Struthio camelus: one gene and its partners. Each later gene encodes a partner of the first gene's protein in a complex. Links are inferred from orthologs where the notes say so. Each region holds a gene or a part of one and is shown in the gene's direction. Other genes may lie near its edges. The genes, in order: FGFR3, FGF23 and KL.

Region 1 (9,860 bases):
AGAGGCCTTGCCGGGCTGGCGGAGGCCAAACCTCCCTGACCACAGATTGCATTCTTCATTATGTTTGATCTGGACATCCAGCATGCTGCGTGAGGGGAATCACATTTCTGCAAAAGCACAAGATCCCCGAGGTAGTTATCACTTTATTATGACAGTGCTGGATTTGGTCCCACAATCAAAGCTGCAGACTGTGAGCTGGCATGTGGTAAGTCAGTTCACCTTCCTGGGCTTTGGAGTGACCATGTGTAACAGGGGGATAATAACCCTTAACTGTCTCAGAGACCAGCTAGAAGAGTTATCTCTGTTTATAAAGTATTCTGAGACCCTCAATTGCTTTTCCACTGCAAAGCTGCTGGACATGAACATAGGATTTGGAATGTGCATGCGTACTACTTTTTATTTCAAAGGCCAGAAAAAGCTATAGAGTCACTCAATTCTGTAACACATCCTGTATATTTAATGCACCAATATGCGTCTGATCCACCCACCCTATCTCTGTAGTGGAGCAGAGCTTGTACTGTGCTTTTTGGAAAAATAAAACTACCACAGGAATTGCAAGGAGATAGACATACAAATCAGCCTCTAGATGTGGCAGGGCTGCAGTCAGACGCGGGACTGTGTCAGCACTGCCTTGTGGGAGCACACAGTCAGTAGTAAAGCAGCGTTAAGAATGACTGATTTGTCCCTGTATTCAAGCCTTCCCCTAAAGTAAGACAAGCGTGCCACTGAGAAAGAGCTTGACTGAAAACTGTAGTAATAATGTCTTAATATTGACTAAAATTCTGCAGTCCTCAACAGATAGAAGACCTCAGCTGAATTATCTTTAACTCACATTTATTTTAGTTGATGGCTCTTTATTTTGACAGATCTTCTGCTGCTCACGACACATTCCTTTCCGGTACTGCAGAGTGGGGCAGATCCCCCGAAACGCCCCTGGAGAGAGGGATACGGATGCGAAAGCCAGGCCCTATGGCTGGGCTGGGAGTCACGAGCCACACTGGACAGCATGAAGCGCGGTTCTCGAAATGGCTAGAGACCAGAGAGGATTTCATCCCGCGCATGCCGCTGCTGGGGCCAACAGCAGTCATTAGTGAGGCCCATGGGCTGGAGCTTGCCTCTGGGACCATGCCACACAGATGTGATAAGATCCCAGTTCTCATGGTACATGGGTGTGTTCCTGGAGTAAATCCTAGCTTCAGGACAGTTACTTAAACATGACTGTGGGTCTCCCAGAAAACTGCCTTGGCAGCGTCTGGTTTATTCTCACCGGCATCAGTCTTCGCAGACCGGTGGGTGACTAAGCAGCGTGTGGCTTCATTTCAAATGCCCCCAAAGTTAGAGGTCTTGCTATGCCTGCAAATGAAGTGCTCCAGCCAAAGTTTATCTGAAATGTCATATATAGTGACTGTTTGAATGCACCGGGCAGGCAGAAGTAATATCTCTGTCTTCTTCTCTGCAGGCTCCAGATGCTTGTCTTGGTTTACTCGGAGGACTAGGATAACCAGATCTGCAGGACAGGTGAACTGCATCTCCGAGACGTGCTCGCAGGAGGGCGCAGAGCCAGCCGGTGTCCCATGCTGCACGCACGGTGGCTGTACTGAATCAAGATTATTTCAAGATCTGATTTTAAATCTTTGCTTCTCACACCCTCCACAGGCTCTCTCCAGTTTTTTTCTATCTACTTCCGCAAACCGTCTAGTTTTCTCTCCAGGCTGCCAAATTATTTCACCTCTGCCAGAACCTCCCCATATGCAGCTCTTGCCGAAGAGACTTTGTGCGTCTCTCTCCAGCTCACTTGTTCTTTCTCGTTCCTCTTCAAATCAAATTACTTCTCCCTTAACAGAGCCTTCTCTTTCTCACTTCCATGCTGCTCTGTGGGGAAGTAAACTCTACAGGATGAAGTTGTGCTGTAACCACCTTTCAAAGTGATATGCTTCTCATTTGCAAGCACAGAGAAAGCCTTCACATGGTGGCTTAACCTTTCACAGTGTTTACCCTGACAATCATTTGGGTCCTTAATCTTAGCAACAATGACTATCAGCTTGAAATTCAATAAACCTGCTTGGAATCGCAGCCCTTTGGACTGGCTAGTTAATAAAAACTGGTTTAGCCATTCCAATGTGCCTTATTGATATAAATAGATAGTGACATGATCTCTGGAAAATTTACTCCCGTGTCCACCTCCACTCCTGCTATTTAACCCTTTGATTCCAAGGGCTGGACGCATGCAAATGGACAAACTCTGAAGTAATATTTCAGCCCAGTCTCATATGTGCTTCTAACGAGGAACAGGCTGGTAAAGCCCTGGGGAGCTGTGGTGCTCAATCTGGCTCACGCGTCTCAGTCCTGATAAGAAATATTTGGTGATATTTATTCTGTGTACCTAACCTGATATGATTCAGAGACTCGTGTGACCACGTGTCCATGTAATTCTACTGCATCTTGTTCAGCATATTCAAACTTGCACTGAAGTTTCACTTGCTTCACTGCCCTGTTCCATCTCAGGATAGCTTCAGGAGTTGTTTTCTGCCCGCTAAGGAAGCAAGTTGTACGAGGACCCATTGATGGGGATGTATGGCGTGGTGGGATGGTGTACCAGCCCCCAGCATCATTTTAAAGATCTGTATGGAGGCCCACGATGTGTCAGTTCACAGCAGCCACCATGCTCTGCTCTCTGCTTGGTTAAATACAACAACTCAGCTATGCAGGTAGGCAGGAACTAATGGTTTAATCAATTTAAAAAAAAAAAAGAGCAAAGACATTATTTTGCCTCATTCTTTTCAGTGGCCAGATTTATGCTTAAATATATTTCTGCATAGAATAGTTCTAATGTGCTGGCCCACCACTAAAAATGCCGTTTCTAGCTTTCCTGCCTGAAGCCTGAAGGGCATCAAGCTTTGGTGGAGAGGCCTGGCAGGAAGGCAGAGAGCGAGCCGTGGAGAAAGGGAAGGGAAGGGAAGGAGAAGGAAAGGGGCGTTGGTCCAGGGCCACCTGCCTTGGTCCCTGAGCTGAATTACCTGTCGGTGGGAGCAGGGAAGCAGGGAGAGCCATGGCTTACGGGAAAGGGGCAACAGGAGCAGGAGCAGGGTGTGGGGGCGCAGCCGCTCCGGGTGGCCAAGCACCTCGGCCAGGACCAGGGCCGGGAACGTAGCAGCGACCAGCTTTGACACTGAGAGCGCTGCCACCACATCGTATTTCAGCCCCTGCCTCGGAAAAAAGGGGCAGCCGCTCGCTGTCCCAGAGCTGCCGAAAGCGGGTTGATTTTCATCACGGACAGCTCTGGATATTAAGGGGCTAAACAAATACAAAGCCCTGGGAAGGGCAAGTTTATAAAGGGTAAGAGGAGAACAAACACTGGGGTGGTGCGTGTAGATCGGCGTAAGGGGGACGCGCTCTTAGGTCGAGGTGAAAGGAATACTCTGCGGCTAGGATGCATCTTACAGCATAGTAGTCCTAAAATAAATGCTATTGGGTTGAGCAGGGTTTACTAGTCTACATACATTGAGTTTTTTATAGTAAGAATGTGGCTGAGACATAGTCCAGAAACACAGTTTTCACTGCACAGTACTGCATCTCCGGCTCTGTTACAGTGGCCACCGCAGTGATGAACTAGCATCTAAAAATCTGCGCTTAATCGGGTCGGTGCTCCACAGCCTCATGTGAATGGGCTGCACCAGAGGTTAATAAACGGGAAACCTAAAAATATCCCACCCTAGGGAAAACTGCCAACCTTGAAGTCCTTTACACAGGGCTATCTCAATACCTCTTTGATTTCCTGTCGCAAAGGGCTTCCAAATGTTGTAAGCTTTCAGTTTCTCTCCAAAAGAAAACCAGTTTGAAACCATTAAAGGGCTAGGTTTACCTGATTTGAGACACAGACCTTTAAGTCTCTCAGCAGCCTCTGGTAGCAGCTTTAAAACTCGCTTGCTTTGGATGGGACGTTTCTATCCTGTCGCCCTGGCCCGAGAGGGACACAGACACGTTTGGCTTCACCTGACTCCGCATTTTCACTTACTTTCTTGCTTCAGCTGCGGATTGAGGAAAGCTCCTGACTTTCCTTTGCTGCTCTTGTGAAAAACGGAGATAATCACAGGAAAGACGGTGAGGATTCACCAATTAAATGCTGTGCTGCTCTTACCCTGCTGTCTTTACATGAGATCAGAATTTGGCCCTACCTTTCCAAAAAGTCATCATCAAAATAATAACGGCAACAACTCCACATGCAACGCTACTTTCTTCTCACTATAATTACGCTGTTGTTGTTGTTGTTGTTGTTGTTGTTTTCACCAATTTTCTGGCACCTCTAACACAGCAGTTGTGAGAGAAAACATCTTTCAGTTTGACACACTTCCCAGGCGAAATAACCGCGTTTTATTTATATGCCTGCTTTTCCCTCCATTGTTTTCGTTTAAACTGCCTGTGACACTTGCGAGAGTCTCTGCTGACATGCAGGATTTCCTCGCTGCAGCCCCGGTTCAATGCTTCCCCACACAATGCCGTAGTATTGAGATGTCAGACTCTCCGCGCCTGATAAAGGTGTCAAGACGGACGCCGAGCTCAGCGACAACAGCACCGACGCAGAGCCCCGCCACGGAGGTCGCCAGCAATTCCCGCCTTCTGCCGCGCCGCCGAAAGCGAAACCTGCCCCAGCAGCTGGGATTTGGCTTGCAGAGAGCAAACCTCAAGGCCGCCTGAGCTTTTTACACGTTTCTCGTTCCTGAACCATCTCACCCTAGCTGTTAGCAAGTTGGGGTTTTGGGGGACCCTGCGCAGAGCGCTTTCAGCTCTGATAATAGTTGCACCTCTCAGATTTCAGTGAATGAATTGCTGCGTCAAGAGGATTAAAGCAGAGCTGTGACCTCTGTATGAAGCAGCTCAGATCGCTTCTCAATGATAAATGTTGCGTGTCACTTCGGCGAGTCAGCCACGTCTGGGGGTGACTGAGACGACTGCGTTACCCAAAATCGTAACAAGTGACATTTAATCAGATTTTATTAAAAGTAGCTGATCCAGCTAGCAGCAGTGAACGCGCAGAATCCAAGCAGGGATACGACACCGGCGCTGGGTGTTCGGCGGGCCAGGGCAAAGGAGTCCCCGCCGTAGCACAGCAAACCTGCCAGGGGAGCGGGCGCATGGCGCTTTCAGCATGCGAGCCGTTAGGCTGAGTGCAGGCACCGCTCGCAGGCGGCTTCTGCCATGCCACGTCCTGCCTAGACTGCCCACGACCCAACGGAGTCGGCTTAAGCCAATTCTGCCTCTTTTCAGAAAACTCGCCCTTGCTGTTGTAAGGCCAGGGAAAAAAGAAAAAGGAAAAAAAAGAAAAACGAAGTCTGTGCGCGTTTCATGGCACACTATGGCAGGGCATGGGGCCACTTTGCGCGGCCGCAGTCTTAGGGTTCGTACTTAGCACTGCCGGACTTCGGACCGACTTTAACCCCGCCGACCCCGTCTTTCCCGGAGCGAGGCGAACCCCCTTCTTCTCCGTGCGATTGCAGTCGGGCCGGAGGTGCGCGGCGCTCGCACCGCGCCGACCGCATCCCTCCTCCCCCGCCCGCGGGGCGCGCAGCGGGGCGCGGCCCCCCGCGGCGGCGGCGGCGGCGGCGGCGGCGGCGGCGGCGGCGGCGGCGGCGGCGGCGGCGGCGGCGGCGGCGGCGCGGAGCGGGGCGGGGCCGCCCGCGGCTCGGCCCCGGCGGGCGGGGACAGCGCGGCCGCCCCGCTCCGCGCCCGCGCCCGCCAACCAGACGCAGAAGCGCCGCGGCGGCGGGCGGGCGGCGGCGGTGGCGGCTGCTCGGGCGCGCTCCCTCCATGAGCGGTGCGCGGCGAGCCGCGGGGCTTGCGCAGGTAAGCGGCTCGCCGGCGCCGCTTATGTGCGCGCGTCCCCCCTTTATTTTTTTTCTCCTCGCTTTCCCCCCTCCCCCCGCCCTTTTTCCCTGTTTCGGTACGCGGGGGGGTGCTGAGCGGCTCTCTCCTTCTCTCGGCAGCGCGGCGGCGGAGCGGAGCGCTGAGCGGCGGCAGCATGCGGCCGGAGGATGTCTGAGCCGGGCGGCGGCGGTGCGGCGGCTCCCCCGCGCCCGCGGTGCCGCGCCGGAGGCATGCTGGCGGCGTGGGGCTCCCTGTGGTGCCTGTGCTTGGCGGCGGCGGCCGGCGGGCTCCCGGCGGCCCGGCGGCCCGGCTCCCCCGCGGAGGAGAGGAGCGGCGGGCAGCCCGCAGGTGAGGCTGCCCGGCGGGGGGACGCGGCGCGGCGCGGTGCGGCGCGCCGGGCGGGAGGCGAGCGTGGGAACGGGCCGCGGCGCGGCGAGCTCGGGGGCCCCGGAGGGCGAGTTAGAAAGGCGGCAGCGCGCTGCGCTTGCCGGCTTTGGGAAAGTGCTGGCCGGCGCTGCCTGCTCCTCCGCCAGCGGCACTTTCGGCTTGCCCAAGCCAGCAGGACGCCCGGGAAGGAAAAATCGCTTTTCAGACAACTTTCCCTGCCTTCGAAGTTCCTTCTCTCAGTAACTGCCGCCGCGGTGCCGATCCGGGGTTTGGCCGTAGCCGCGCTCGCAGCTGAGCGGGGAAAAGCAGAGAGCCCTCCGTGCGCGCACGTCGGAGAGCAGGGGGAGGCATCTGTGCCCGCGTTGTAGGAGCGGGACGGGAGGTGCCACCGCTCCGCTGGCGCCGGCGCACGGCTTAAGAGTTGGGATTGTGCTGAGGAGGGGAAAACATCTGCGGGAATGCAGTAAATATCTCCCCTCGAGTGGAAAGCGTTGCAGTCGCAAGTGAAAAAAAAAAAAAAGTTAACGCGTTGGGCAAAAGCTGTTTAAAAACGGTACAGCGTGTTTGAAATGTCGTGTCTCTCTGATACGCCTCAGCTGCTACCTGAGTCCCTGTTTATTTTTCAAAGCTCTTTAATGGAAGGTAGCCCCCTCCTAGTCCCCTGTCTTTAAGATTGCGTGTACCCAACAGAAAGTTTCCATTGTTCACGAAAGGGTTTGAAGCATGTTTGCCAAAAAAGTGACAGGGGAATAAATGGGCTTCGTGGAGGCTGGGGGGGGGCATTACTTTCATACCCCTTTTGGTTAAAGCTATAAATCACACAGGGGGTTGGTTTTGTTTTCAAGAAAGTACTAATAAAACACCAGATTCTTAGTGTAACTCGTTTGGCTCATTTTTCACAGCCAAAAGAATTGATTTATGGGGCAACATCTCAGCTGCTTTGTCAGAGCAGATGAGATTGGTGTTTAGGAGGAAGCAAGAGCAGTCTGTGCTAGTAACGGTATTAGGAATCGACCAAAATTAAGGTCAGAACTTTTCCCCGTGTTAGCCTGAAATATGTATTTGCGCTGTCACTTAGAGCAAAATTCTTTGGGGAGCCCCAAGGAAAGTGTGGAGCAACCTCAGTGACTTCCTCGGGGGTCCTCTGGATTTACACTCAGGCAGGCTGAGCTCACAGCCGGGGACTGAGATCGTGGGCAGAAAAACAGTAAAAACCTTTCTGTTCTTTAAGACACCCACATTTGCACGTTAAGATCTTAGGGTGGTGTTTGAAATTTAGCAAGTGACGTGCCCTTATAGTCGTCCGGCGTGTTGGTGGAAGGGAGGCAGCTGAAGAAAATGTCCCTACGGTGATGTCTTTGAACTGAGCGATGCTCCAGGATTGCCAGGCGCTCTGGTGGAAATCCTGCGCGGGCAGGTTCTGGTTTCGTCCCCCCGGCTTTTCCGAGTAATGGCACAGTTGTGGTCCTGCTGTTGTTGCTGCTGTCAAAACTCTCCCGCGCTTCCCGGGGAGCAGGATTAGGCCCTCCGCGGAGGGCTCCCGTGGGCACGGACGCGGAGCAGCGTTTCCGAGCGTTTCTCCGGCAGTACGAGTCGTGCAGGGAGATGTGACGGGAGAGGAGGGGGTGGCGCGCGCGGGGCGGGCAGGCAGCGTGCTCCGGAGACGGGACCGAGCTTTGTAACGCCAGGCTACTTTTTGACTGGCCACGTGCACGAGGGAAGCGTGAAATATCGCTAGCGATACCCGGGCTGCTTGTCGTGATATCTAATTGACTCGTTAGGCAAGGGCAGAGGACCTGTTGCCAGCGCGTAGGGCGCTCTTATCTGGGAGAGAAAAGGACCTGCAAAAGCAACTGTAAAGAATATAAACCTTCAGAGCCAAGTAAAAACACATTTTACTTTTCAAGCTTTGAATTGAATGGTAAAAAGCAAATTCTTTCTCCTAGTCAAATGGGCCATGGGGTATTGGCTCATTACTGAGGGTTGTTGTTCACTAGGTTTTGCATTTACAGTGTAAGGCCTTATTTTCCATAAAGGGGCTTGGAAGGATTTTTCCCTAGTGATCTAATTCTCCACACGGGGCTGTGAAGGCTGTAACAGCTACTGCTTTGTGCCTATACTCAGCTACATAAAACACACATTGAAGGGAGGCATTCTCGAGGTATGTGTATGTTTGCTAATATGAATACTAGCTATTAGTGGAGGTGGAGGGGGTGCAGGTTTTAACATCTCCGCAGGGAGGTGTTCGGCTGTTGGCAGGAAGGAGGCAGATGGCGGGGCTGTTGCTGAATAGAAGCTAAACTAAAAACACCAGGGGCCTCATCTGGGCTGAGTTTCTCTTCTCTCCCTTTCTCGGGGCTGCTGCAGGAAGAACAATGTCATTTTTTTCTTTTTTTTTATGAATGAAAGTAGAGAGGCAAGGCAGGATTGAATGTGTATGTCATTCAGCGGCTATGACAGAGATGATTAGGGAGGTCAGTGAACTCCTTTGCAGCCTTGAGCATGCGGTCACTCTATTCAGCAGCCACAGAATAGACATCAATATAAAAAAGCCCTTCCAATTTGCATTAGTATTCAGATAAAGATATTACTTGGTACGATTTGTGAATGTCAAGTAATGCTGGCTGTTTTCTTAGAGAGCAGACCAACAGAAACAGCAGCATTTCTCTTCTAAAGACTTCTGATAACAGGCTGTCTTCCGTATCTGGTTTGTGCGTGTGCATACGTGACACATGGGAAAAGTGAATTTTTGGACGTCTTAGGATTTTTACTACACTAGTTAGCTGCTAAAGCTGTGTATATGCATTGACAGAGTTGCGTAGAAAGCTGTTAATGTTTGAGAAAGTTTGTGCGGCAAGGGAGGAGCTATCCGAGCGTGTCAAGAGCAGTAACTGAGGTTTACTTGCGTAGTACTGTAGTCGAGTTGTCACCCAGAGTTACCATACTGGTCCCAGCAAGCAAGCCAAAGAAATAGAAAAGGTACCATTTCACGTTTTAACTTAATTTAAATATTGGGCCAGACATTCTTGTGACTTTTCTGCTTGGAAACAGCGGTGATGTGCCGATTGAAAAGTTTTTCTTTATGCAGCTTATAGCAACTTTGGTTTGTTTGGTTGGTTTTTTTTAGCCTTTTCAGCTTCTGACGAGGATATTGGGTAGGATGTAGGGTATTATGGGCCGGGTCGTTTTACTTTGTGTATCTAAACATTCCAAAGTTCACCCTGAAATTAGAGTTGTATTTGAGTGAGTGCTGCGTGGCGCTGACCATTCCTGGAGTAGGGTTCTGGGTTTATACGTTCTCGTAAGGAAAGCATTTCAAAGCCCTTTAAAAAAGAGTCCCTTATAAAGTATTGTTGCTTTCTACTTTATATCTCAGACCTGAAATCCTTTAGATTCTGTGGGCGGCTATGAGTGAGATAGTTTTGCTGAAGAAAGTTGTTTCATTTATTGTCTTAACGGTAGCAGATTTCAAGAAGTTAATTAAGTCTTTAATGTTGAGACTAGCATATTTTACAGAGCAATAAAATTAGAGGGCATGAGTAGGGGATGATGAAATGTGGCTTTTTGGTTTTTAGTCTATTCTTCAGCTAGCAAATAGTGGCCTGGAAAAT
Region 2 (10,307 bases), on another chromosome or scaffold:
ACAGTTTCCTCGCCAGCTGTGGTGGGCTAAGTCTTATGTCCTAGAGTGACCTCTGCTGGTTTTCCTGTAGTGAAAGTGTGTAGTCCATAATTCACTTCAAACTTTCAGGAGTAAAAGTAACGTAGTCTATTTAATTTCTCAGGTAAGCTAGTTTTCCACTCTTTGCTGGCTCAGCTCAAAATCTGATCGGGACTTTAGAATGCTCAGGCTTCTTCAGCTGAGTATTACTGCCTCATGTGATAAGCTATGCAAGCGTGTTAAGTTAAGCGGCATTAGAGTATATAGGAAACAATGGGGAAAACAGTGTAGGGAGGAAAGGTCATACAGTGAAACAAGGGATGGGCAAATGCTACAGGTCCTTACTGTTGGACATGTGGATTTTGTTATACAGAGTGAACTGAACTGAATCAAAGTGTTCAGACTAGGATCCTGGCAGTAGCAGGAACAATGAAAGACTTTCAGTGAAAGTGTGCAGAGACCTCCATTTGAGAGATCAGACTGACCTGGGTGTCTAATTTTGAGGGGAAAAAATCTGAGAGCTGATAGAAGTAAATGTGTAGGAACAGAATTAGCTTGAAACTCTCATTCACTCTTATGGTACATTATATGAAATTACAAGTTATATATAGAAAAAATAAAATATATATATTTTAAATATATGTATTTTTAAAGCCACAGATTATCTGAAGAACTTAATACCAGAAGATACTGAGAAAGGGAGCTTGGTTCAGCCATTTGTGGCCTTCAATCAGACTACCTCAAAGTTTTCTTGTGTACAAGCTGCAGCAGCTCTCCCAGTCACAGATGGAGAGGTCCATTTTGTGCCCTCTTCCTTCACTTTCTTGGTGTATCCTTTCACAGCTCCACCTCCTGCCTTGACCACTTGCCTCCCGCATATACGTAGGCTGGGACCCAGCTCTTCTCATTTCTGTCATCCCAGGTCCACATACTTCCTCTTATCTACCCATCACCAAGTCTATGAGCTGATTCACAGGGCTGACTGTGTCCAGTTACTGACCTGAGCTGCAGGACAAGCAGCTCCTCCCCAGTCAAGGGGGCTTCCTGTCCCCCAAGGAATGGGCACTACAGCTGGGGACCCTCCAAAAAGCATTTCCTTGGCAATGAAAAGTATCAGCAGCTCCCATCACAGGTTGTGACCATTCTCTATTCCACATCACCTATGAAAATTCAGAGCCCTTAAAACAATGAAAACAGTCTCTGTTCAAAAAATACAGCCTTTCAGGAACTGGTCCTGCTCTGCCTGGGAGCTCTGACAGTGCTTTCAGCTAGAGAAGGAACAGGGCCCTTCATTTCAGCTGGTTAGAGCAAAATAACGTGAGCATCATCATCAAGGCCCTTCTTAGACACTTACAAGGAGGGAAGCCTGATCCACCTGCTTCCTCCTCAGAGTGCCATGCAGTGTTGCGGCTTTCTGTTGGTGTCCGTCTTTGCTGTGTTAAATTTTGAAAGCCCATAGTCTCTAAAGCCACTGGTAAAAAGCTGCTCCTTTTTAGGAATGGCAAACCAGAGTGGAAAGCTTCTTCCAGTCTTCCATCTGTCTGGAAATAAAAATCCCAAGAAGAAAAGACAAGCACTTCTCAGAAAGACTGTATGTATGTCCTGCATAATGCAGGGATAGGTGTCCAAGAGATACTCCAGCAATATTCACTGTCTGCCTGCACAGGTGACTTAGCACTTTTAAAACTGGAAATGGCTTTCCAAAACATCTACTACATGGAGAAAAGGTGAGGGGGAAAAAATAGAAGAGCCAAGACCATACATTTGGCAAGCACACTGCAGAAATCGCTAGTGCATGCTGCGGTCCCAGATGCAGTGGGTTGTGCTTACTTCATTTGTTTCACGTAGGTGAGCCTAGCCAGGATGTTTGCTTTAGTCGTGGGCAGCGTGACAAGGATGGGACATCCAAATAAGGTCACTCAGGATGTGTTTAACAACACTGGGTAAAGTCTGTGGCAAAGGTTCATGCACACACATGCACACAGGGCATCCACAGTACACACCGCTGTCCTGGTGTGTCATTATTCCAAGAATAACTACTAGAGAGGCACTCCACCCTTGTACTTCCAACATCGAAGATGTGATTGTCCCAGAGTCATTATAGTGATTTTAAGGAGGAGGGAAGAAGGGAGAAGTGTCCCTGAATCTCTGACCTCTTAGAAGAGATGCAGTGCAGAGAAAAGCGTGAAAAAAAGAGGCAGTTTCAGATTTGTCAAGCCAAATTCCCTTGCGATCTTTGAAATAGCAAAAAGCAGAAGGCTTTCTGAGGGTCATCCCAGCTACCTGGGAACAGAAGGGGCAATTCTTCCCCATCCTCACATGGCTGCCAGCCCCGGGGACAGACTGGTGAACATCTCCCTGCCCTCAGCCAGAACAGGGTTCTGCAAAATGACAAGCCACACACCTGTTTAAATATAGGTCAGCATGCTTTATTAAGCAACAACCCTACACGTGTGTCTACATGTTGAAAGGTAGTCAAACACTGTGAGGAGACACGTATTTTTATTCATAAGAGGACCTGGAAAGTAACCTCATTATACTAAGCAGGAAACTCATTTTTTAACCTGCAAATTTTTGATGGTGCATAAAGCACTTTTAAAGAGCCTGCAAAAGGTAAGTAAGAGTGAATTTCTTGTAGTAACTTATACGTGTTCAAAAAGTTTGCACTTGCCCTGTAAGTCCCCTGTAGCTGACTGAAGTGATAAGCAACGAAAGAAGGGAGTTATCTTGTTAGCAGTTGCACAAGGGAAGGTGAGCAGCTGCCAAGCTCAGGGTTTGACAGATTTGAAATCATAAGTTATGATCAAAAATGACCTGAGGCTGAAATGCAAAGTGCTCAAAATGTGGGAATTCAGAGCTCAGGCTCCTGTTACCTTAACTCAGTTCCCTTGTGTATAGTTCTGGGTATAATTTTTAGTTAAATGTTCATATTTAATTAAATTACAAAACTTCCCACCACATATTTGTCTCATTGGACACAGAAAATGATTATGTTCACTTATAGATACTTGGTATTTTGTGTCCGCTGGTCATTGTGTGCTCTGGATTAGCACTTGCAGCCCACGTGGTAGGCCCCAGTGATGAGGCATGAGCCTATCACCACTGATGCCCAGCTCCCAGATCCACCAACCCTGCCAGACCTCTGCTACCTCCAAAGCAAAGAGGACAGAGTCGGTAGGAGCAGGTAAGGGGTGATGGCCCGGCAGGGGAGGAGGGAAACAGCCTGGGAAGGTGCAGAGCATCAATCGTTTTCTCACATACATTTCAACTGCAAAGTGGTCTGATCCATCCCTTCCTCTTCAGCAATGCGGTTAAGGGAGACTTTCCTTATTGTTCATTGCTGGTGACAGCATCCACCCTCAGTGCTGCCTTTGGGCTGTCAGTGATTACCGCTACCTTTGCAGGTAGTCCTGCAGAGTCCTGTGTCCTGTGTCACCCGACCCCAGCTGTGCCATGTTTCTGAGGTGGGAAGAGGGAAATGTGGCCACCCTGATGGCAGAAAGGTCTGTATTCGGTCTCCCTTGCTAAAGGACACAGCAGTCCTTCCCTTTTCCACCAGCATGCCTCAAGATCCATGTGTATTTCAGCTGCTGTCCTCATGGCACTCACCTTGCCTCCTGTCTGCTCAAGAGGCTCCACATAGCAGGGACCAACCTGCTTCCCTGAATTATTTATTTGAATTAAGGATGTATTTAAAGAAGAATAGCAATTCTGAGGTTGATTAGACATTTTTGGTCTTCAAATTCAGTTTTTTTTTTTTCCCTCTACAAGATGCTGCACCTAATTCTTTAGGTACAGGAGACACCTAGAAAAGCTGTCTTGATTGGTCAAACATCTGAAAACAGTATAGACAAAAAAGAAATATCAACATATATGGTAAAAGTTATGAAAATATTATTGCTACTGATGCAACAGCATAAGGATATAAGAGGAATAAGGTTTTAATCGCTTTCATTAGGCTAACTTAGAGAGCTGAACAAGTAAGCAAGCTTTCATCTGCTTGGTTACTTCAGCAACAGCTGAATGGGTAGGAGAAGTTAAGTGGCATACCCACAGAAGGAATAAATGGATCAACCGGGAACAAAAACGAAATGGACTGTTAAAAAAGCATCACCAATTTGCATATAGAATTAAAGTAAAAATGTGCATTAAAAGGCAAAATTTGAATTACCATCCTGACAAGCAGAAACTTAAATAAATTTGCTTTAGCCTGTCAGCTTAAACAAACACAACTCAGCAAAGCCTGGAGTGCTACTGACCCCATGAGAAACTTGAAAATGCCAAACAATTTAAGCACCTGAAAATAGTCTGCTTGTCTGCCATATATAAAAAAAGAGAAATGGCTGGTCACAACTGGCATGTGCCGAGATGATTGAATACATTTTTCAGAAACATGAGAACTGTTTCTCTGCAGCTAAGACACCAGAGAGAAATCAGATCAGCGCATAAAGGTAAGCACAGACAAAAATCATGATGAATATGAAATATCACACCAGAAAAACTCCACTTACAAAAAGATCACAAAAACTTCCAAGAAGACAATCTATCCTGTATATGACTCTCTTGTGGAAACTTTTGCAACTGCTTCTGAGGTATCCCCATCCATATTTCCACACTAGTCTGAATGAAAGGGAGTAAAAGACCAAAAAAATTTTAGAAATCCTTGGATTCTAATACCAGACTGAAAAAAATGAATGAATAATTTCAGTACTAAGGTAGATACATCACTTAGAAAAGAAAAGAAATAATATTCATCCTTTCCTTCCAAACTAGCTTTTAAATTAAGACATTCAGATGTTACACCCAGTAAAACATTTGTAGCCTTAATTGCCTCTCAGTGAAGTCAACTTTGTTAATCTACTCCATTTAAGATATGACCCCAGTGCACTTTGCATAAAATTGCTGTCATTTACACAGGTGTATACACACTGACGTAAGCCTTTAGATTTACACAGATGTCAGAAGAAATTGGCAGAGTTTTGCTAATTTTAAACGATAAAAAAAAATCAGATCAGCTTTTGCAGTTGAATACAGTTGTAAAAATCTGTAATATGCATGGTGCTCGTGGCACTGCTCCACAGCTCACTAAGGAAACTGAGAATCTGACACCTTGTGTCCAACTAGAGACTAACTTATTTGTATATTGCTTGAAAGTACTGGACCTAAGACTGCTACAAACAAAAACCTCAAATTTATTTTTTTTAAAAAAGTGATTGACTTAGTTTTCAGTATTCTCTTCAGTTTTATATTCATTTTTGAAAGAAACTTTAGTAAAGCCTAGTTTCATAACCCGTTGTCGTCATCATCATCATCATCATCATCATTTCACCTACATAACCACTCTCCCATTAATACAGCATTTTCATAATGAAAATGGAAGCATTTTTTTAATTGGGAAATTTGTAAAACCACAGAATTCGGCAGGACAACTAAAATGTGGGTATCATATCTTAAGCCATTTTTGAACATTGCTTTGCAGTTATTACTTTTCAGTTTGGTCATGTTCTTTTGTAGTTCTTCCAAGTGTGCTTGCTATACCTCAAGTAAAAAAATGTGCCAAGATGAGCTATTTCTGTTTTGATGTGGGTCCTAGATCTACTAGCCATGCTAACATATATGACTCCTTACATGATTGCCACCTAGACTTACAGTACAGCAACAAATATGCAGCTTCTAAGCATCTTACAGGTAATTTTCAGCTGACTGGCCAACTTCAAATTATTTAGGTAACTCAAGATATCAGAAGAAATAAAAGGGAGAGCTTATTTCAAGAGGGCTGCGCTCATATCAAGCTTCTCTTGCTTAAAGGAGGTGACATAAATTTCGGTCCAACAGGCTCACTGCTGGATTTACATCACTATGAATGGGGAATCAGGCCCAGATTAACCTAATACCAGCTTCTGACACATCTTCAAAAATTTTAGCAGTATTTGGTGCTTCTGTGAAATTAGAATGTGGTTTGGAAAACCAAGGGGAAGGTGGGAATCTGAACAAACATATCTGAGAAAAAGTTCAAAGTCTAAAGGTTCGTTCCCTTCCCCTCCCAAAAGGCTTTCTATGTAGCACAGTAGACTGCTCTTCCTGGATTTAACAGTAGGGGCGTGGGAAGCTCTCAGATGTCACAGGCTTGTAGATAACATTTGAACATATGATTAGCTTTTGTGAGCTGTCTTTAGAAACCTTACATTTGCTCCCCCCCCACACCTTAGCCAGAGAACCTACGTGCTTTCCTTCCCTTGAGGTTTCGGGCCACTTAAAATGTTGCTTTGACAAAAATCAAGGATGTGGAGAAGTTTTTCCTGTGTGATGTCACTTGGCTACCCTTTATAAGCCTCTGCAAAGAAGAAAGGAGCCCATCTGAGGATTCATACTCCAAACGCAGTCAAACCAGGGAAAGAGAGAAGCAAAGAGGAGTATCAAGTTTCAGGTACAGACTAGCCACTAAGGACAGAGAGCCATGCCACAGGCCGTTCCCTACAGCTGCTTAGGGTGCATGCTGCTGGTGCTCTGCAGCCTGAAGGCTACCGCTGCCTTTCCCAACTCCTCTCCACTGCTGAATCCCAGCTGGGGGAGTGCAGATCGCCTGATGCACCTGTACACAGCTACGGAGAGGAACAGCTTCCACCTCCAAATCAACGCTGATGGCTACGTTGACGGTGTCCCGCACCAAACCATTTACAGTAAGTAGCTCATTATGGACCCCCGGTCTTCATTTGAGCAGGGAAGAGAGGACAATGGTCTTTTTTTGCCTTCTTACTAGCTATAGCAATTTCCATCCTCCTGGTTGGCAGGCAGACAGCTGCGAGATGGAAAATACACATAATTGTAATATTCCTTTTGTTTAACAAATAAACAAAATTGCTTCAAAGAAATCTAGCAGATAGGAATTCTGATTCTTCACCTTTACAGTAAGTTATGTGATTCCTGTGATACTCTGCAAGCAAAAACTACCAAAATTATCCTTCACTTCATGATTTTACCCACAGCTTCTTGTGGAAGTTCCAATGAGAGATTGGTGATGACATGTCCCAAGTATCTCCTTCTTATTCCATTGATAACATCTGCAAAAGAAGTATACTGAGTGAACTCACCACACAAGTGCTGGAAAACTGGTTTTGTCCATAAAACCTTTACTTTTGGGTAGAGAGCTGAAAAATATCTGTAGGCAACTACATCAGTACAGTTGGTCATTTCCTTTTGAGTACACCAATACTTCTCTGAATCGAAAATTAGTTTGTGAGACAAGCTTCAGATTTGTGCCTTTAATGTACTGCCTGGTAGAAACACAACTGTGCATAGAACGTGGCTCACTGAATATGCAAAGGTTGATTAAACTGGGAGAAACCGCAAAATGTCAGACTCTCATAAATGAAGTGCTAAGCCTTCGGAGTGCAGGTGTGGCTCCCAAATTGTCTCATCCTCATCTATTTTCTTGGAAAACTGGGGTATCCTCCTTTCTTTGTTGCATACCTAGCCCAAACACCATAACTAGTAGAAAAATGATCACAAGTAACAATAAATCAGAAAGTAATTTTAATTATTACTACTGTGTAGCATCTTCTTCAACTACTCAACTAAAAATATAAGCATATCCAGAGATACCTGTGTATGAGTGTATGAGGAACAAAAGACTTTTAAAAAGGTTATAATTTAATTAAGGAGAAAAAATGATCAAGTTCTGCTATTTTTTTATGAATTATGGATAAAACACTTGTAGAAAGGCTGCATCCTCTTGTTATTATTCTTCAAATATATTAGTAGGGTCTAAAAAATTCAGTCGTGTTGGTCAAGAACCAGTGTGATGGTGTAGAGAATCACAGCCAACAAAATACCATGCTTTGCCAATCTGTCATGAAGCAAGTGTACAGGTAGTTGAAATGGTAGAGCAGAAAGTGTGAGATAAGACAAGGAAAGGGGCTGTGAAAGCAAAATAACTGAACCAGGTCACCACAGTCCTGCTGAGACACCAGACACATGAGAAGTGCAAAGTTCTGCACCAGGGCTGAAATAACCCCTGGTGGTGGTACAGGCTGGAGCAGCCTCACTGCACAGACAGAGCCCTGCTGGACAGGTCCTGAGGGTTACAGGGGCACCAAGCCAAATGTGAGCCAACAGCACATTTGTCCACATTTGAGTGGAATGGTGGCCCAAAGACCCCCGGGATGGCCCTTCCAGTCAGCACTTTTGTGGATCGGTGAGGCAACAATCCAGTGCAGAACTGTGTCCTGGATTTGATATCTTTGTTTTTCTAAATAGGTGCTCTAATGATCAAATCCGAGGGTGCTAGCTATGTAATAATCACTGGAGTGAAGAGTGGACGCTACCTATGCATGGACATGAAAGGAAACATTTTTGGATCGGTGAGTGACCTTTGCTAAGACTCAAGACTGAGGCAGCTGCAGCCTGCTGTTCTTACCATAGGGCCAATTTCCTCAGCTAGGACAAATCTCTGTAGCCAGAGGCAGTGACGGAGGAGGCAGATTTAAGCCAGCTGAGAACCTGACACGTAGGTTAAACTTTCCTCTTCTTGTCAATCGTATTGAATCATAGAGCTGACAGAAGTCGTGCAAGTCCTGCTGGGCTAAATGAGGCCAGAATGAAATCTAATGGTGGATCAACCTGAATTCTTGCTGTAGTCTATAGTCGTGGCTTGGAAATAGCTCAGACAATACAATCCTCTCAGATAAAGCAGTGTTAGCCCAAAAATACCTTTGCTGTAAATATGGGCATATATATTAGTCTACAGTTTACTAAGCCTTGTCTCAGTTGTTACTGCAGAGCTAGGGGATCAGAAAGATACCTGCTGCAAGATCTCATTCTTCTTTCTGTTTTTAATTGGCACTCTTTAATCACCAAATCTCTCTGCTCACAGCTGTCATTTTTTTCCTTAAGCATTACTTCAGCCAAGAAGACTGCGTGTTCAAACACAGAACCCTGGAAAATGGATACGATGTGTACCAGTCTCCTAAATACAACTTCCTGGTTAGCTTAGGCAGAGTTAAACAAGCTTTCTTCCCTGGTATGAATCCACCACCATATTCCCAGTTCCTGTCCAGGAGAAATGAAATTCCTTTATTCCGATTCAACACACCTGAGCCCCACAGAAACACTAGAAGTGCAGATGTCGATCCAATGGATCCTCACCAGATCCTGGTGCCCCAGAGAAAGGTCTCCGCATTAGGATCCCAGCTGCAGCTGCAAGCAGACTTTTCCCACGTGCCCAGAGAACCCATGAGAATCAATCAGAATGATGTGGTCAACCCAGATGACCCACACGCTATGATGGATGCCAGGAGGCATGTGAGCCCTCGCTTCTATATTACAAGATAATGGGGCCACACCACTTGCAAATTGAAATAATGGATGAATGTGATAGATGAGAAGAACTGGCTAGCATACTTGATTCAATTTCCAACTTTCAGAATGGCTACTAGAAACCTGAAAGACAATGGAAAAAAACCTGAATTTCAAATCGCACCCTTAGAGATGACAGTTCACTGAAAAAAACAAATCATATATTTTCCAGGTGGGGCTCTACGCTATTGGAAAAAAGAAATATCTGCAAAAAGAATAATACAAACCAAACTTTTGGGGGTTTGAATCACCTTTAGTTTGCGTCAGTGGACAGAACTCACTTGAATGAAAAATAAGAAACAAATGTTACATTACTGGTGTAGCTGGAAAGAGACTTGGGCTCTGCAGCCTTCATTCCAGTAGAAGCAGGGAGTCCTCTAATTAGCACAACAGCAGGCGGTGCAAGTTCAGCATAAAAAATGTCTGCTGGTGTGTTATATGATTAAAATAACTTTATTGTATATGGTTTTAGCTGGTAGGATTGGAGCTATAGTCTCTTTTCACACCCATAGAAGCCAAAAAGCAACTGCTCTGTTGTTAAAGGATCTGCGCACATGGAAAATTGGAATAACTGGCAAGAGAACAGGGATCAAATGGTCTTGCATAGAAAGAGTCAGTTCTGACTCCTATTGAATCCAAGCTGAGGTCTGGAAAAAAACAAGTAGAGTCCCAAAGTTCTTTCAATTCTTTCTCTATCACACTTCTATATTCACTTAATTCTAGGGTCAAAATATAGAAATATAATGTAAAAATATTATTTTTATGTATTTCCAACACAGAGAGAAGTACCAGGAGTACTAATAATTAATAGTATCAGATAGGTTAATTTATTTTGCATGCTGCTGAACTCTGCTAGGAAAAATAATTCCCAATCAGTCATGCCCCAAAGGCTTCAAATTACTCATAGCTAGTGCATATTCTCCTATGATGAGTAA
Region 3 (9,485 bases), on another chromosome or scaffold:
CCAAAACGTGTGTCTACATCCATCTCCAACAGCCTATGGTGACTGCATGGGAGCTAAAGATAATGCATGGAGGGCTCATTTCAGCTGCCCACATATAGGCATCCATTGCCATTTGACATGACATTTGAGTAGGTATCTCATCTGTCTGCCACTTGATACTCTGAAAGGGGACAGGTCCCTTATAGACCCTCTGTTATATCTGTCAGTCTTGGGTAGATACCATGGCCATTCTATGGTATGTCAAATGACACCGTCTGCCTTTATACTGGCAACTGAATGTGGGAGACCTATGCCCTTCTGTAATGGCAACTGGAAGTCAAATAGGATACCCTAGTACATGTAAAATGATACCAGATCCCTAGGTGTAGGAAACAGAGTTCTGTGCATTTGGGCTGTTCAGCTCACCAGTTCCACAGTGTACTCTGGCCGGACCTCCATCAAATAAATTGGGAACTTAGCCATCTACTTCTTGTTAAAGATATGTAGCTGTCTGAACCCCAAACTGAATTTCATCTTACTAGTACTATTGTGGAAAGGTGACACATATTTATACATCATACATCTACTGCCATAATTAATATCAGATCTTGCTTTACCCACACCTGAAATCACAGGAGGATTAATATTTTGAACAATAAGATGCCCATCTCTTCCTCAGGGGGAAATCAGAGATAGAATGGTATTTAGTAAGAGTGCTAGTATTCTAGTATTTGTGGGATTCTGACGAAAATAGTGTTTGACGTATCTGCATGATGGATGTGAGGAAAATCCCAAAACTTGGCTTAGGGCAGTATTGATTAGGCTTTGATACAAAATATATCACACGTGTACATATACATATGTATACACATATACATATAGAACAAGTGATCGAACAAGTTGATTGAACACTAATTAAATCAATTAAACTAATTGACTGAAAACATCACAGAATCACAGAATGGTTTAGGTTGGAGGGACCTCTGGAGATCATCTAGTCCAACCTCCCTGCTCAAGCAGGCTCCTCTAGAGCATATTTCCCAGGATCGCATCCAGACGGGTTTTGAATATCTCCAGGGAAGGAGACTCCACTACCTCTCTGGGAAACCTGTGCCAGTGCTCAGTCACCCTCACAGCAAAGAAGTTTCTCCTCCTGTTCAGATGGAACTTCCTGTGGTTCAGTTTGTGCCCGTTGCCTCTTGTCCTGTTGCTGGGCACCACGAAGAAGAGACTGGCCCCATCCTCTTGACACCCTCCCTTCAGATACTTGTACACATTGATGAGATCCTCTCTCAGCCTTCTCTTCTCCAGGCTGAACAGGCCCAGCTCTCGCAGCCTTTCTTCAGGAGAGACGCTCCAGTCCCCCCCGCTGCTCTTTGTAGCCCTCCGCTGGACTCTCTCCAGTAGGGCCATGTCTCTCTTGTACTGGGGAGCCCAGCATTGGACACAGTACTCCAGGTGAGGCCTCACCAGGGCTGATCTACTACACAAGACTATTTTCAACTGGCTTTATGCTTGTAAATGTTTGTAAATTTGCTTGTAAACGAAGAATGGGTATTAAAACAGAAAATGGCTGTTCCAGGTGCCGAGGCCTTTTGCTCTGCCAAAGGTAGGAGTATACATGCCACCACTATAAGCCAGGTCGCTATCCTGCAGAGATCTTAAAATGAGGAGGAGGGTTGCTGCATTGAAACCAATGCATGACGTAACATCAGGAAAAGGTGTTAAATGAATCTAAATCATCAACACAGTTGCTTTACCTAAAATTGCATGCCATCAGTAATCATGGCCCCTCAGCCAAGATAGTATCCCCGAAAGTTGTTTCCTTAGGAAGGAAACAAAAGTGCTCAGTCACAACATTGTTGAATTTGATTGCATGCTGCTGCATAACTGATAAAGAAAATTTCTGAGTATAGGCTGACTGAAAATTATACTGTCACTTACCATATCCAGCATACATATTACCAGAAGTTGAGCCTTCACTAATCACTAATACAAAGAAAGCTGAAAGATAACAAATCCAAATCTGCCGGGCTGGGCTGCTGTTGTGTGCTTGCTCAGCAGGGCAGACACGATGGAGCCACGCTTTGAACTCAAGGAGCAAACAGAGAAACCTGCATGTCTGCAAGTGTTTGGCTGACCTTTCTGCATGGTTAATATTGCACAGTGTTTCTTAGACCAGAAAAAAATATATATTGGCCCAGAGCAGAGGGTGGTTGCGTTGTTCTGAAACATGAAAACAAGCTTTCTCTGTAAAGAGAAAAACAGGTAAATGGAGGTAGCGGTGCACTTTTTCTGACTTCTATACTTTAAGACCCAGTTTTCATCTGATAAACATAAAGGTGAAGTGCCAGCTTTGTGCCAGCAACTCATGGCCAGATTTCACCCCTTAAAACTGGGCTGCCGAGTTCAGGAACATACTCACTGTAGGTTCCTTGTATAGTTTTTGGAGAAGGCAGGCACCTCCAGAAGTTGACTAAGTTCTTACATAGGCTGACTCACCCTAACACTATTTCTTTCCTTTGGCTGTAGAGAGGCTCTGCAGAAAAAGAGATCCTAATGAACGTGTTTCAGTTAAGGGTCTAACTATAAATAGGATTAAACTGTGTTTTAGTTAATAATTAGCAAATTAAAAGAGAATGCATCAGGATATATTTTAAAACGTCTTTTGTCCCCAGATACCCATCAAAATTTTTTTCCCCTTAAATCTCAGTAATAGATTTGACACCTCCAAAGCCTTTTTTTTTAGGCTTAGATGTTTCTGAGATCTGCCTCTACACCAAGATTTTCAAAATACTTAGGCAGCAAGTCCCAGGCAAAGGCATTAAACTTCCACTGGAATCAGGTCAGTAGCTGAATAGGAGCCTGACTCTTCACTCCTTGCATAGGGAGGACTAGAGCAGTCCTGTTGTGTACTTAAGATTTAATCTCTAGCTTCTGCAAGTATCTACTGTGTGATGCTATCCTTAGAACAAACTTAGGACTCCGAAAGAACAAACAGAACCCAACAAGCCATACTTCAAAAGAGTGCGCAAATGTAAAAGCAAATGTACATGCACAACCTCTTAGCAAACCTCTATTTTCAACCTGCTGTGGAAGAGCAACTAATATGCTTGTGCTAATATTTTTCCTAGGGGATTGGTACACCTGAATATGGGGAGCATCTGATGTAGCCTATCTGATACTACTCATTTCCTCCTGAAAGGGCATCCATATTTCAATTTTAACACCTTTTTTGTTGCTGCAGTTGGAGCTCAAGTTATCCTTTACTTAGACTGCAATCAAATGTCACCAGCTTGTCAGACTGTAGAGCAAACACACTCCTTGCAGCGGACGATTAGCCTCTGGTGCAGTATCTGCCGCTCTCTTCCCTGCTCCCACCCCATAAACTTGCTGTGCCCTTAGTAAAAGGATGCTATTGGGCCCCTGGGCAATTTAAAACTCCATCCCTCTAACATGGGAATAAATTAATCAGAAACAATGGAAGACTACTACCATCTGGTACTCCAGATCCTTGGTCCCCTCATTAAAAACACCACAAAACAACCCAGCAGCCCCAAATCAAATCGAACTAGTGTGGAAAAGGTGAAAGCTCAAACTTCTTTAAAGACGCAAAGAAAGTGCTCTGCCGTGATTACGAAAGGTGTTAGAGCCCATCCTAGGCTCAAGAGAACACCTTTAGCACCTCAGCGTCCACTAGCAATTGGCATTTAAATCCATCCACTCATTATTAGCAATTACGTGGAGTTCTCCTCTGAGGGCACTTATTTTCTAAAAATAAAATGAAATTATCTTAATGCTTTCATTCTTTAGTTAAACAATAACTTTATCTCCTGGGAACATCTCTCTGTCCTTAACGGCCTGTCTAGTAGGTGTGTTTTATTCTTAGATGCCCCAGCTCATCCTAGGCTTCACATAACTGAATATTAAATACCAACTTTCTGCAATATTTTAAGCTAATTCTTACTTCTCAGCAGACTGAGACCTGCCTTTAAGAAGTTCACGTATCACATCCACACAAGCAGTTAACAGACATAACTAAATAATTAAACTTAAACACACAGCTTTTTTTCTTTTTTTTCTTTCTGCTCCCCATGAGGATCTGCGAGGCCTTTCTAATTGAAATTTGTTTTGCATGCAGTAAATAACCAAATATACCAACCTGCAACTCCAGAAAAGAAAAGGCGGTGTCAGTTGGAGGTGACAGCTTACGAATTATTGTGTGTGGGGGGGGGGTGAGAGCGTACGAAGTCCCCAGTCAATGATTTCGTTTTCAACCATTATTGCATGCCTACAATTATTTAATTATTAATGCATGACGTTTTAAATTATTATTGCAGCTGCGACGTCCCTCGACCCGGCACCACGAAGGAAAGACTGGAGTATGGGGAAAAAAAAAAACCAAAAAAATCCAAAAAGCAGCAGCCGCAGGCTTTGGATCACCCCGCACATACATGAAGCCACGCAGCAGCTCGGCGGGGTGGGGTGGGGTGGGGTGGGGGGGGGGGGGGGGCCTCCAGGAAAGTTTTCCAGGAATTTTTTGGCCGGCCGCCTGCCCGCCGCTCTGTGCCGCGGGCAGCTCCCCGGCGGCGGCGCCCCGGCCGCGGGACAGCTCCCGGGCGCCGCAGCGCTTGCCGCTCCGGCCATCGGGTGGGCTCAGCCAAAAAAAAGCTGTTTTGAGCGTTTCAGGGGCCGCTGGCGAGGTGGCGGGGGCGGGGGGGGGGGGAGAGAGCCCGAGCAGGTACCTCGGGACGGGGCGGGCTGACGGGCTCTGCGCCCTAGAGGGCTGCGGGTGGCCGAGGCGGCCCCGAAGGGGAGACAAGTTGCTCCTTCCCCCGAGGAAACCCCCCCGCCGCCGCCCTCCGCTCCGCTCTCCTCGCCTCCCCCCCCGCCCCTCCTCGATCCCGCCCCCGCAGCCGGCGCTCCCCAAAGGCGGGAGCCCGCTCCCCCTTGGCCGGGCGGGCAGGCTGGCGACGGCAGCTCCGAGGTAATCATTAATAGCCGTGCCCACCGGCGGGGGGAGGGCGGAGGTGAGGATAAAAGGGGGCCGGGGGGGGAAGGTGAGGAGGGGCGGGGAGCGGGGCGGGGGGCTGAGCGGAGGGAAGGCGCCGTCGCGGAGCCCCGCCGCCGCCCGCCGGCATGGCCCCCTGCGCGCCGCCGCCCGCGCTGCTGGCGCTGCTGGCGCTGCTGCTGGGCCGCCCGCTGCTGGCGGTGCCGGGGCAGGGCGCGGGCACCTGGGCGCGCTTCGCCCGCCTGCCCTACCCGGAGGACCAGCTCTTCCTGCACGACACCTTCCCCGAGGGCTTCCTCTGGGGGGTGGGCAGCGCGGCCTACCAGACCGAGGGCGGTTGGCGCCAGGGCGGCAAAGGCGCCTCCGTTTGGGACACCTTCGCCCACCGCCCGCCCGCCGCCCGGCCGCCGCAGCCCGCCGGCGGCGACGTGGCCAGCGACAGCTACAACAACCTGTTCCGCGACGCCGAGGGGTTGAGGCGCCTGGGGGTCTCCCACTACCGCTTCTCGCTGGCCTGGGCCCGCTTGCTGCCCAACGGCACGGCGCCCCTCAACCCCGCCGGGCTGGCCTACTACAGCCGCCTGCTGGGCCACCTGCGGCAGCTGGGCGTGGAGCCCGTGGTCACCCTCTACCACTGGGACCTGCCGCAGCGCCTGCAGGACGCCTACGGCGGCTGGGCCAGCCCCGTGCTGCCCGAGCTCTTCCGCGACTACGCCGAGCTCTGCTTCCGGCATTTCGGCGGGCAGGTCCGTTACTGGCTCACCATGGACAACCCCTACGTGGTGGCCTGGCACGGCTACGGCACGGGGCGGCTGCCGCCGGGCGTGCGGGGCGGCCCGCGGCTGGGCTACAGGGCGGCGCACCACCTGCTGCAGGTAAAACGGCGGCGCGGTGGGAGGGCGGGGGAAGGGGCTCCCCCACCATCTTTGGGGCCTTCTTCTCCTCCTTCCGGAAGGTGCCGTGCTGCCCCCCAGGCGGCGGTGAGAGCGGCACCCTCAGGTGGTGCCAGCTCTGGGCCTGTGGGAAGCTGCCCTCAGGCTGCTCCGTGCCTTTGACAGCCACTAAAGTAAAGGGGGGGAAAAAAAGGCAAATTAATATGAAGTGAGCATCAGAATTAAACATCCATTCTGTTCCCCTTTGGAGCGGGTAGCCTTTTCAAGGGGTTAAAGACGCCTTAGGCTCATAAATTGGAGGCGCAAACTTTGTAGTTGCAGTTCCCTCAACTTAATGCAAACACACCGAATTAAAATGTTCTTTGTATACTGCAGAAATGTTTAATTTTGGTCTCCCGACATTTGTGAATGCGATTCTGGACGTTTGAGTTCAGACCAGTGCTGGTTCCAGCCTCCGCTTCAAGTTGCTGTGGAAATTTTAAATACAACTGTAAAAAGAATTCATGTGTTTGATACAAAAGTCTGGTTGAATTAACGGAGGTGGTGGAGGTGGCTGAAACGTCTTACCAAAAATATTTCTTAACAGAGTAGGATTTTTCTGGACAAAGAGAACATTTTTTGGGGGGGAAACAACCCTGTGTTCCCCAGCTAGGCTAGTAAGTCTCATAACTTTTTTGTTATAAGTATTTTTTATGTAATTTACTTATATATGGTATATTTGTAAGGTTTGCTGGAAGCACTTGTCAGAATTAAGCAAAAGTGTGTGCAAATCTTTTTCACTGACTGAGTAAAAGATTCAGTATGTCTCACTGGAGTGGTATTTAGTTACAGCTCTTAAGAAATAATCTATTTTACCTGAATGCACATTCCTAAACTCTGCTAGTGTTCATTTGCTCAATATATGCTTACTGGCAAGCGTATTGTTCTCCTGAGTGAGTATCGTATATGAAATGAGAACGCTGATAAAACATCCAACTCATGGCTTAGTCAACTTTTGCCTCTTTTATGCATTAACTTTGCATCATTTAGTGTTAAAAGTGTTTCAAGACAAAATAGAGGGGTGTACATGGGTGTACACATGGATGTAATTTGAACAGGGGTAGCATTTCAGATGGCACTTAAATTCCTGGTGCTGAAACCTTTAAACTCTTAAGCAGTTCTTAGGATGTACTTGACTGAGTTTGATGCCGTGACTGTACAGTTCACTGAACTGAATCTGCTTCTGAGTGAAGGTACTCCTAAACTTAAGCATTTGCAGTATTAGCCCCAAATTTTGCAGCAAGACTTTGTCGCCTATCAGTGATCATTACACTTTTCAGAAAATCTCTAAATAGTTACTCACAAATTATTTGCTATACTTGCATAGTTATTCTGAAATCAGTGGGACTGTGCACAAGGGTAAGGGCTGTAGACTCGGTGCCATCGGTGACAAAATCTTGGGAGCTGAAGTTTTATTTCTCCGACTTTGTATAGATCATATGCAAAAGAAATCAGTAAAGCTGCAAATCTGAGCTCTCGGACTGTCAAAAGAAAGCTTACCTTGCAATTCTTACTTCAGCTCTGAGAGTCATAGGCATGCTGACTTGGACTTTTAATGTTGTCTGTCACTTTATTTTCTTTCTAAAGCCTCTCCTCTGCTGTGCAAAATGGACAAGTGATGAGTACCAATTCAATATTCTGTGTGGTTCTCCCCTCCACCTGGTTGTTCGGTTTGCGGCTTCGGGTCTGAATACAGGGCTCTGAAAACAGATAACTAAATGTAATGGTTATTTTCTCCATGAATTTTCCACAGTGCTGTTTTTCCCGAGTATTTATATCTCACATCACCATAGTATCTGAGCGCCTCCTAATCTCAAGCATATTCTTGTTCTCACAAAAGTCCTATGAAGAAGGGAAGTGCTTTCTTCCAATTTCATAAATGAAAAACTAAGGCACAGACTTTCATAAGGCATATAGAAAGTATAAGAAATTAGACCAGGAAAGTCTACTATAACTATTTTAGTGACATAATCTCTGAATCAGTCTTCTTCTAGTGACTATCATTTCATTTTTTTCACAAACAGTGATCATTTCTTTTTACACAGCTCTGTAAGGTAGGAGGTATCATTTTTTCCACATTTGACAAATGAGGAACCGAAAGACAGAGGCAATTAAGGTCAAAAGTATCCACTAATTGTTGGTGCCCTCTTCCTGGCATGTGATTTTTGGGCAGTTATACATTCAGCTCTTCTGCTGGTTGGATCCCAAAATCTCAGATCACCCACACAGAAAATAAGGGATGCGCAGTTCATGCAGAGAAGCTCTCATCCATGAATGCTTAGGCAGAAGTCTTTAGTACAGGCAGAGATCTGGCCTGACTATTCAGGGCAGAAAACTTAATGGCTTTAACAGTGAGTTTCTTCTTTTGTTTCTTACATCCCCGTAATTACACCTTTCAACTTTTGCAAGCGATGAAGTAGGCAGCTTCAGAATATGGCTTCCCTGAACACACAGCTTGATATCCGTAAAGTGTATGTGATCATGTAATGAAAGACCAAGTTATTCCGCGTGTGTTAAAGGGAGTGAATTACATTTCCATGTGCAGATTTAGTTTTCCTCTGCCTGACTCCTGAGTGATTGACTTTACAGCTTGAATAATGTTTTTTAATGCAGGAGGGAGGGATTGCATATAGTTTTGTAAGTGACTTCGGTCACTCATTCTCAGGAGCACACGCAGCCTGGATTTGGATCAGAAGGCTGTGCAGTTGTGGGTCTGCCACTTCATTACATAACTTGGAGCGGGGGCACAGCGCTAGGCAGTGCTGTTGGGGGCTGTAGTCCTCAAGCCCTTCCAGGAAAGATGTAGTTGATCTCCGCTCACAAAAAACTTTTCAGCCACCCAAACTCCTGTTGCTTATGTCTTCCATTACCAGTCCCAGGCTTGTCCTAGTCTTGTTTCCTTCTCAGGGATCTTCTTGTCTCTGTTTCCCAGTGAAAGATATGTTTGTCCTTTAAAAGATAAAACATATTCTCATAAATGTTTGGATCTTGACAGATTAGATGACTGAATGTGTTTTCTCACAGTTTTGTGTATATTTACAACACGCAATCACTTTTGATTATCTTCTTTCAACCTCTCTGCCTCAAACAAAGACCCTTATGAGGAGAAAGATTAATTGCTAGTGAACACAAATTTCAAGTCATTTATTTTAGTTGACGCTAATTACTTTGAAAGATGAAATAATTTCCTTTAAATTCTTTAAAATTCAGCAGATCCAAATGTGGATTTTGGGCTCTGTCTTTCCGCGTGAGTTATTATCTGAAAAAGTAGTCAAATAAGAGTTGATTCAATTCAGGCTGTTCAATTGAGGGCTGGTGGAAACAGGGAGTTTGAATAACATTGAAATTTGGCTTGAATGGATTTCATCCTGTTGAATTGAATTTTTTAATTACCTTGATTTTTTCTGAAGTTTTTCTGTCATTTTAACAGTTTGTTCCAATTTCTTATCAGTAGTCCGGAATGGGTAAATTTCAGTAAAAAGATAGCTTAAAATATTCTGATAATATTTTCAAAATCTAACATAGGGAGTCCTCTTTGATTTTGGAGAGGCAGAATAAAACGT

What was found.
Region 2: the proteins of FGFR3 (region 1) and FGF23 are in contact, whole or in part, in a cryo-EM structure (PDB 7YSU), measured with the Homo sapiens proteins. The link is inferred for Struthio camelus from reciprocal best matches to the Homo sapiens genes FGFR3 and FGF23. Residues at the interface, in NP_000133.1 of Homo sapiens: Glu157, Arg158, Asp160, Lys161, Leu163, Leu164, Ala165, Val166, Pro167, Arg223, Asp244, Leu246, Glu247, Arg248, Ser249, Pro250, Val277, Tyr278, Ser279, Asp280, Ala281, Gln282, Pro283, His284, Ala312, Gly313, Ala314, Thr316, Thr317, Asp318; in NP_065689.1 of Homo sapiens: Ser29, Leu32, Gly33, Ser34, Trp36, Tyr43, Ala45, Ala47, Arg48, Asn49, Ser50, His52, Ile75, Arg76, Ser77, Glu78, Asp79, Ala80, Gly81, Val83, Val84, His117, Gln118, Thr119, Asn122, Gly123, Tyr124, Asp125, Leu158, Ser159.
Region 3: the proteins of FGFR3 (region 1) and KL are in contact, whole or in part, in a cryo-EM structure (PDB 7YSU), measured with the Homo sapiens proteins. The link is inferred for Struthio camelus from reciprocal best matches to the Homo sapiens genes FGFR3 and KL. Residues at the interface, in NP_000133.1 of Homo sapiens: Gln286, Leu288, His290, Val291, Val293, Gly299, Thr303, Pro304, Tyr305, Val306, Thr307, Val308, Leu309, Lys310, Glu320, Leu324, Ser325, Leu326, His327, Asn328, Val329, Glu332, Asp333, Thr338, Leu340, Phe347, His349; in NP_004786.2 of Homo sapiens: Ser539, Gln540, Phe541, Thr542, Asp543, Asn545, Val546, Tyr547, Leu548, Trp549, Asp550, Val551, Ser554, Lys555, Arg556, Leu557, Val563, Lys566, Arg568, Tyr571, Val573, Ala576, Pro580.

Annotation. Positions count from the first base shown.
Region 1 is NC_090945.1:78,284,904-78,294,763, reverse strand, and holds the start of FGFR3 (fibroblast growth factor receptor 3), read left to right. Parts: upstream 1-5,743; 5' UTR 5,744-5,841; intron 5,842-5,981; 5' UTR 5,982-6,029; coding exon 6,030-6,210; intron 6,211-9,065; exon of another isoform or gene 9,066-9,228; intron 9,229-9,860.
Region 2 is NC_090942.1:84,396,736-84,407,042, reverse strand, and holds FGF23 (fibroblast growth factor 23), read left to right. Parts: upstream 1-6,338; 5' UTR 6,339-6,475; coding exon 6,476-6,698; intron 6,699-8,274; coding exon 8,275-8,378; intron 8,379-8,910; coding exon 8,911-9,348; 3' UTR 9,349-9,457; downstream 9,458-10,307. UniProt on the Homo sapiens protein: Regulator of phosphate homeostasis. Inhibits renal tubular phosphate transport by reducing SLC34A1 levels. Up-regulates EGR1 expression in the presence of KL. Acts directly on the parathyroid to decrease PTH secretion. Regulator of vitamin-D metabolism.
Region 3 is NC_090942.1:198,394,948-198,404,432, reverse strand, and holds the start of KL (klotho), read left to right. Parts: upstream 1-5,111; 5' UTR 5,112-5,118; coding exon 5,119-5,865; intron 5,866-9,485. UniProt on the Homo sapiens protein: May have weak glycosidase activity towards glucuronylated steroids. However, it lacks essential active site Glu residues at positions 239 and 872, suggesting it may be inactive as a glycosidase in vivo.